Linked DNA regions of Oryctolagus cuniculus. Each later gene encodes a partner of the first gene's protein in a complex. Links are inferred from orthologs where the notes say so. Each region holds a gene or a part of one and is shown on either strand. Other genes may lie near its edges.

Region 1 (4,027 bases):
AAGGAGAAAATTAAGGTCCAACGAAGTCACAGGGTGCAGCCCTAATCTGCCAGGCCTGGTGTCCTCATAAGAATTGGAGGAGACACCAGAGCACTCACTCTTCGGTATACACAGAGAAAAAGTCATCTGAGGACACAGCAAGAAGATGCTATCTGCAAGCCAGTCAGAGACCTCACCAGACACCAACCCTGCCGGCACCTGATCTTGGACTTCCAGCCTTCAGAACTATGAGAAAACAGATCTCTGTTGTTGGTATGCAGTCTGAGTAGACTAAGACACTATAAGAAACCGATACCCTTCAGTCTAGAGGAACATGCAAAATCTGTTATGTGCACACTGAAGAGCACAGTCTATTAGTTACCTGTAACAGCCACATAGCCCTTCTTTTAAGGTAAGGATCAGCAAACTACCTGAGTTAGCTAGTAAATACGTTAGGCTCTGTGGGTCACAGGGTCTGTCGCAACCACTCAGCTCTGCCATTATGATGTAAGAGCAGTACTAGACAATATATAGATTAATGAGCTTGACTGTGTTCAATAAAACCTCATTCATGGACATTTAAGATCATTCCCCCGATTCATTTTTTCAATTATTTGAAAATTTTTAGCCTTTGAAGTCTATAACAACAGAGGGCAAGGGCAAGCCAGATTTGGTGCACAAGCTGTCATTTTCTATCCAACACTTTAAGGTAACAAAACCACTAATTTTAAGATAGGCATCTTGGAATCCAAAAGGATACCCTTTCCCACAGGAGGCTTGACTCCATGAAGAACCTCTGCTCAGAGGTGGGAGCAGAGGCTGTCTGTGTAACTTATGTAACTTCTGGGTCCTACTTCCTTTCTTCTTTTCCCCTTTCCAACTAGCTAAAATGGAGACATGGTGGTAAATTACTTTGGAACATGAGAATAGCAACAAAATCCTAAGAATGGGAGTACCAACATAGAAGAGCTTGGACCACTAATGAGCTGTTGGGACTTTTACAATACGTTGGAGAACTAAACTTTTCTCGTTTTAGTAGCCATTAAACTGCTTAAATAATAGGAGAATATTCCTTCTATTGTTTTTGCTTAAAATAGTTTGTGAAGATGGATTTATCCATTTCTTTGAAATCTGGAAGTATTTACTCAGAAAGCTAAGTCTGATGTTTTTCTTTGTAGGAAGACTTTTAGTGCTGAATCTATTAAAATATTATTTATTTATTTGAAAGGTAGAATTAGAGAGAGAGAGAGAGAGAGACCGAGTTCTCCCATTCACTGGTTCACTCCCCAAATGGCCACAACAGCGGGGGCTGGGCCAGGCCAAAGCCACGAGCCTGGAACTCCATCCAGGTCTAGCACATGGGTGGCAAGGACCAAAGTACTCAGGCCATCTTCCACTGGCATCCATATGGGGATGCAGTAGCTTAACCTGCTGTGCTACAATGCCAGCACTGTGAATCAAATACTTTAATGTTTGGGATCATTCACATTTTAAAACGTCTTCACAGATCCATTTGGATCATTGCTATTTTTCTAGGATTCACTTCAATTTTTGCTTGTATTTTCAAATTTATTGCCAGAAAGCTGTATCTTTCTGTAACTTATATTTCTACTGTATCTATAGTTATGCTGTTCCCCTTTTTAGTTCTAATTTTTATTGATCCCCTCTCTTATAAAAAATCACTTTCAACAAAGGTTGTCTAAGTTTCTTTTCCAAAAGAACTTTTGTCTTTTTTCTTCTCTATTGTTCCATTTTTTAAAAAATTTATTTATCAGAGATGACTTTTTAATGCAGTAGACTAAGCTGCAACCTGCAATGACAGCATCCCATATTGGAGCCCTGGTTCAAGTCCAGGCTGCTCCACTTCCAATCCAGTTCCTTGCTAATGTACCTGGGAAAGCAGTGGAAATTGGTACTGGACTTGGGCCCCTGCACCTACATAGAAGACCTGGATGGAACTTCTAGGTCCTGACTTCAGCCTGGCTCAGCCCTGGCCATTGAGGCCATCTGTGGAGTGAACGAGTCGATGAAGATCTCTCTCTGTCTTTCCCTCTCTCTAACTTTGACTTTCAAAATAAAGAAATCAGGACCGGAGCTGTGGCACAGCGGTTGGGGCTGCCGCCTGCAGTGCCGGCATCCCATGTGGGCACCAGGTTCGAGTCCCGGCTACTCCATTTCCAATCCAGCTCTCTGCTATAGCCTGAGAAAACAGTGGAAGACGGCCCAATTCCTTGGGCCCCTGCACCCACATGGGAGACCCGGAGGAAGCTCCTGCTGCTGGCTTTGGATCAGCGCAGCTCCAGCCATTGTGGCCAGCTAATGAGTGAACCAGCAGATGGAAGACCTCTCTCTCTGCCTTTCCTCTCTCTGTTAACTCTTTCTCTCAAATAAATAAATAAATCTTAAAAAAAATCATAAAAAATAATAAAACACATGAAATAGTAAATGCAAAAGCTCAGCAAAACTTGCTGACTAAAAGTTGAAGTTACAAGGAACTGACATAAATGAGACAGGAATGTTCTCTCTCTTCCCTAAGGTACAAATTACATATGAATAAAGACCTAATAATCACAAATATATTAATATAACTTTATAATTTCATCTCCTCACAAAATAGTCACAATTTTTACAACTCAACATATCTATGAGGTGTGTATTAATAAGAAAATGCACCCTGGAATCAAAAGAACATATATTTGGAATCACAAATCATCAATTTCAAAGTAGCTGAATTAATATAGTGCCTTATCAATTAAAAATAAACAAGCATGCCCTTAAGAAATTCCATTATTACCCCTTCTGCCTCTTTTATGTGATCCAGGGTCATCTTCATCTTCAGTGACTGTATCTTGATCTAGTTCTTTTTGCTCTATTTCTTTGCTCTCAGTGCTGGTATCAAAATATTCCCTTTCTTCCTCCCTTTAGGATAAAAACAGATTACATTTATTAATGAATATAATTTTACTCATGAAACATTTATTGCCTACGTATGAAGTACCAGGCATTATGTTTAGGAAGTAGAAAACAACATGACACAGAGTTTATGGTCTTGCAGAGAAAATGGATAACTATATAAAGCATATTAAAATTAGAAAGTACTAAAGCAGATCTTGAAAGTACTAGCATTTCAAGAAGAGTCAAGTCAAGTTTTAGAGATTAAGAAAGCCTGCTTGCCTAAAGAAGTGACATTAAATTGTGACACCAGGGAGCCTGGCAAAGAGTGGGCAGGCAGGAGAGAAGCTAAAAGAAAAAGAGTGAGCTTGTAATTTTGAAGAAAGCAGAAATGAAAAAGTAGTAATTCAAGATACAGATGAGAAAAAAAATGAAAGGTTATGTTATGCGGTGGCTTGTAGGGAATTATCCAAAAAGCAATGGGGAAAAAATCTGAAGTATTTAGAAAAGGAAAGTATGACTGATTGATTAGAAAGCACCCTGGTTGCTATGTGGAAAATTATCTGGCAGAAAAAGTAGATGGGGGGAACCAAGAAAAGAAGGCACTTTCCTAGTGCAGGTGGTTGGCTAGGCAGTTCAGAATAGGAAGGAATAAACAGACAAACCAGGAGGAGAAAAGCAGACAAGTTTCAGACAGATCTCAGGAGGCAGAGTGAATACCATATGTTTTCTCTAGTATGTTATCTAAATTAAAACTAAAATCACACGAGCCTGGAAATACATTCTACTATTTATGTTCCCTATCCAAAGTGGAGTTTTGCAAGCTCAGATGTATGCAGGAGCCAGATATAAAAAAGTGAGGCTGGTCAACTATAAGAAATATGAAGTGGAATCTATACCATGCTTCTTTCTTTTTAAAGAACTGAGACATAATTTACATATCATAAAAATCACCATTTATAATATTACAATTAAGTAATTTTTTGTATATTCACAAGGTTAACAATCATTATCATTATCTAATTCCAGAACACTTTCAGCATTCCAAAAGAAAAATCCTATATTCACCTATAATCATTTCCCATTTCTTCATATTCTGCTGCTTCTTGGCAACCACTCATCTACTTTCTATCTCTATACATCTGTCTGTTCTGAC
Region 2 (3,719 bases), on another chromosome or scaffold:
GGGGCGGGGGGAGGGGCGTCTTCCATCTGCTGGTTCACTCCCCAGTTGGCCACAATGGCCGGAGCGGAGCTGATCTGAAGCCAGGAGCCAGGAGCTTCTTCCAGGTCTCCCATGCGAGTGAAAGGGTCCAAGCACTTGGGCCATCTTCTACTGCTTTCCCAGGCCACAGCAGAGCGCTGGACCGGAAGTGGAGCAGCCAGGACTGGAACCCATGCCCGTATGGGATGCCGGCGCTGCAGGCGGTGGCTTTACCTGCTACGCCACAGTGCCAGCCCCCTAATCTATGGACTTTTATTCCCAGAGGAAAACTCCAAGTGAAATTACGAAATCAAATACATAAATCAGTCCTGGGTGTTCGTAAGCTCCCGGCTCCACAGGGCCTTGCCGCGTGTCTGTGCTCCGCTCTCCGTCTGCCCTGCACGGTGGTTCTCACGGCCTGGACCCATCAGCCCGCTGTTCCCACGCAGGGTCAGGGCTGGCGGCCGCCTTTCAGCAGTTCTGTGGTTGGCACCGTGGTGCAGTGGGGGGAATTCCCGCCTGTGGAGCCGGCATCCCACACGGCCACCGGTTCGGGTCCCGGCTGCTCCACTTCTGATCCAGCTCCCTGCTGTGGCCTGGGAAAGCAGTGGAGACGGCCCAAGTGCCTGGGCCCTGCACCCAGGTGGGACACCCGGCAGAAGCTCCTGGCTTCGGGTCGGCCGTTTAGGGAGTGAACCGCAGATGGGAGCCCCGTCTCCCTCCGTGACTCTACCTCGCAGATAAATGAATGTTTTTCTAGAGTAGTTACAATGTTTTTGTCTTCTAAGCTTCTCTGGGAGGGAGCAAGCGAGCGCTCCCACCTGTGGATCCCCGGAGTCGCGGGGCGCCCGTCTGGACCGCTGGACCCTCGGGGATCCACAGCTCAGAGTGCCCCGGCTCTAACAGTATTCCAGACACACTTCACTGTGAGAATACGGACCGGTCTTTAATAGAAAACGCAAACACGGTGCTTTACAATAAAAAAATAGTATCTGGGCAAAGAGCCAACCACAATGTTAAAACACCAGACAGAGCCTGCACCTGGCAGTGCGGGAACGCGCAGGGCGAGCCGGGAACCGGGGCCCGCCCGGGCTCAGGGTTCTGGGCTCCGGGCCCCGGGCTCCAGCCGGCGGGGACCCGGGGTCGGGGCCCCGGGCTCAAGGCGCGGCCTCCTCGTCGCTGCCGCCCTCCTCCGCCTCCTCGCCCCTCCGCTCCGCCAGCATCCTCAGGTACTTGCTCGCCAAGATCTTCCGCGGTAATATATCTGAGATGGACACAGAGCTGGGTCAGCTGGGTCAGCGGCGCCCCGCGCCCCCTCGCGCCCGCCCCGTCCCGGGCCGGCTACCTGCGAGGAACTGTAGCGCGTCCGAGCGCTGCGCGGTGCTCGCCAGGTCGCTGTAGGTCAGCGCCTTCCGCTCGGGCCCGCCGCCCTGGCTGTAGGAGCAGGTGGCCAGGTACTGCACGAAGAGCTCCTGGGCGGCACGGACAAGCGCGCTGAGCCCGCGGGAGCACACGGGGCAGCCGGGGCGCCGCGGGCCCCGTGCAGAACCCTCCCCGGCCGCGGTGGGCGGGAAGGAGCCGCGCGAGGGACGCCGGGAGGCACGCGGTGGGCGGGGCGGGAACCCCGCAGAGGACGGAGGGAGTGACGCGCAGTGGGCGGGGAAGGCCCCGCGCAGGGGACGGCAGAAGGGACGCGCAGTGGGCGGGGCGGATCCCGCGCAGGGGACGGCGGGAGTGACGCGCGTGGGGCGGGGTGGGACCTGCGCAGGGGACGCCGGGAGGGACGCGGTGGGAGGGGCGGGACCCGCGCGAGGCACGGCGGGAGGGACGCGCAGTGGGCGGGGTGGGACCTGCGCAAGGGACGGCGGGAGGGACGCGGCGGGCGGGCGGGGCGGGACCCGCGCAGGGGATGGCGGGAGGGACGCGGGGGTGGGAGCGGCAGTGCGGCGCGCACGCGCCTGCCGACAGCCGCCGGCGGCGAGCGGGCCGAGGGCTCTGGGCAGCGTGGCGGGCCGGGTTCCGCGGCGCGGTGGTTCAGGGCGGCCCCGCGCCCGCCCGCCCTCCGCGTCCTCGCCCGCCTCACCGTGGCCTTGGCCGTGAGCACCAGCGCCTCCTGGTTGATGCTGGACACCTCGGGGGAGCTCTTCATGATGACTCGGATGCGGGACAGGGGCAGCGAGACGAGCCGCTCCCCGCACTTATCCTTGCCCACGGGCACCTCTGCCATCTTCCGGCGGCCCCACTGCGAGGAGCGGCCGGGCCAGTCGGTCGGCGCGGGCTCCCGCGGCCCACTGCCCCGTGGGAGTTGTAGTGTCGCGGAGGCGCGCGCGCAGGGCAGGAGCGCGGCCCTTCCGCGTGCGAACTACAAGCCCCGTGATGCCCCGCGCGCCTGCGCCTGCGCCCGCGCTGTCCCGGGGGCGGGCGCCCTGCATGCGAGGGCCGAGCGGCCGGTCCCACGGGCAGGGGTTGGAAGGGGCAGCCGGGCGAACAGGCTGCAGGGCGGGGCAGCAAGCAAGGCGGCCGGCGGGCGAGCGAAGGCGACTGGTCGTGCCGCCCCGGGGACGGTTCGCCTCGAGTGAGCTCGGCGAGCGCCGTCCGAGGCGTCACGAGGGGCCGTGCTCGGCTCGGAGGCGGAGCCCGCGGTCGGGAATGGTGGGGTCCGGGCCTCGGGGGACGGTGACGCCAGCCGGACTGGGAGAGGAAGAGGGACGAGCGCGCCGCGGGTGACGGCAGTCGGGGGAAGTGGCCTGGGGCGTGTTTTCCCGAGGACAGCAGCGCTGCCGGGGCCTGGTGCGGAGCTCGCCGGGCGGGCCGGCTCCGGCGTCTCCCCCATCGTCGCTCTGCCCCCGGACCCCTGGGCACTGCTCAGAGCTGCCCCGGGGCCCCCGCTCTGCCCCCGGACCCCTGGGCACTGCTCAGAGCTGCCCCGGGGCCCCCGCTCTGCCCCCGGGCCCCTGGGCACTGCTCAGAGCTGCCCTGGGGCCCCCGCCTGGGGAGAGAGCTGTCAGGAGGCCGAGGGGCCCACCTGGAGCCCGCAGTGGCCGGCGAGGTGCAGGGGCGAGGGCGGACTTCGAGGCTCCCGGCGGCGCCCTCCCCTCGCCCTAGCCATGCTGGGTGAGGGGTCCCTGAGGAACAGGCGGTGCCTGCCTGCTTCCTTCCTGTTTCTGTCAGTGCTTTGGCGAGTGGGTGGTCTCGGCAGAGCAGAGCCGAGTGCACACGTGGTCCTCCCCCATGCGACCGCGGGCTCTGGCCCACAGAGCCGAGCGCAAGGCACAGCCAGGGAGCCGCACAGCTCTCGTCCGGTGGGGCGGCCGCGAGGATGTGGCGGGAGAGAGGACAGGGAAGGGAGAGACCCGGCATGGAGAAGGCTGGCGCGAGGCGCGCTTGCCGACCCCCACAGCCGGAGGGAGGGGCACACGTTGAGGACCCAAGCAGCCCTGTGGCCGGCCAGGCAGCTGGGGGAGAAGGGTGGCCCTGGGGCTGAAGGCGGAGGAGAGGCCGGGGAGCAGGTGTGGTTCCCAAGGCCACCCTGGCACCGCCCCGCGCTGCAGAGGGTGGGGAAGCCGCTGCCCTCAGGGTCAGCTCCTGGTCAGGGGCGCTGGTTCCCCTGAGAGCGAGGAATCCCTCGAGGGTCACAAAGCACAAAGGAGCCGCTGGGCGAGAGGCAGCCCCACAGTAGGGCGCGACTGTCGTGTGGACAT

What was found. Proteins that work in one complex are often made in the same cells at the same time.
Region 2: BAZ1A (region 1) and CHRAC1 share a complex: the UniProt entries of both Homo sapiens proteins name them as parts of the CHRAC ISWI chromatin remodeling complex. The link is inferred for Oryctolagus cuniculus from reciprocal best matches to the Homo sapiens genes BAZ1A and CHRAC1.

The regions. Positions count from the first base shown.
Region 1 is NC_091443.1:40,731,005-40,735,031, reverse strand, and holds part of BAZ1A (bromodomain adjacent to zinc finger domain protein 1A), read right to left. Parts: intron 2,899-4,027; coding exon 2,774-2,898; intron 864-2,773; coding exon 740-863; intron 1-739. UniProt on the Homo sapiens protein: Regulatory subunit of the ATP-dependent ACF-1 and ACF-5 ISWI chromatin remodeling complexes, which form ordered nucleosome arrays on chromatin and slide edge- and center-positioned histone octamers away from their original location on the DNA template to facilitate access to DNA during DNA-templated processes such as DNA replication, transcription, and repair.
Region 2 is NC_091437.1:165,601,631-165,605,349, reverse strand, and holds CHRAC1 (chromatin accessibility complex protein 1), read right to left. Parts: upstream 2,367-3,719; 5' UTR 2,246-2,366; coding exon 2,102-2,245; intron 1,491-2,101; coding exon 1,364-1,490; intron 1,283-1,363; coding exon 1,176-1,282; 3' UTR 944-1,175; downstream 1-943. UniProt on the Homo sapiens protein: Forms a complex with DNA polymerase epsilon subunit POLE3 and binds naked DNA, which is then incorporated into chromatin, aided by the nucleosome remodeling activity of ISWI/SNF2H and ACF1.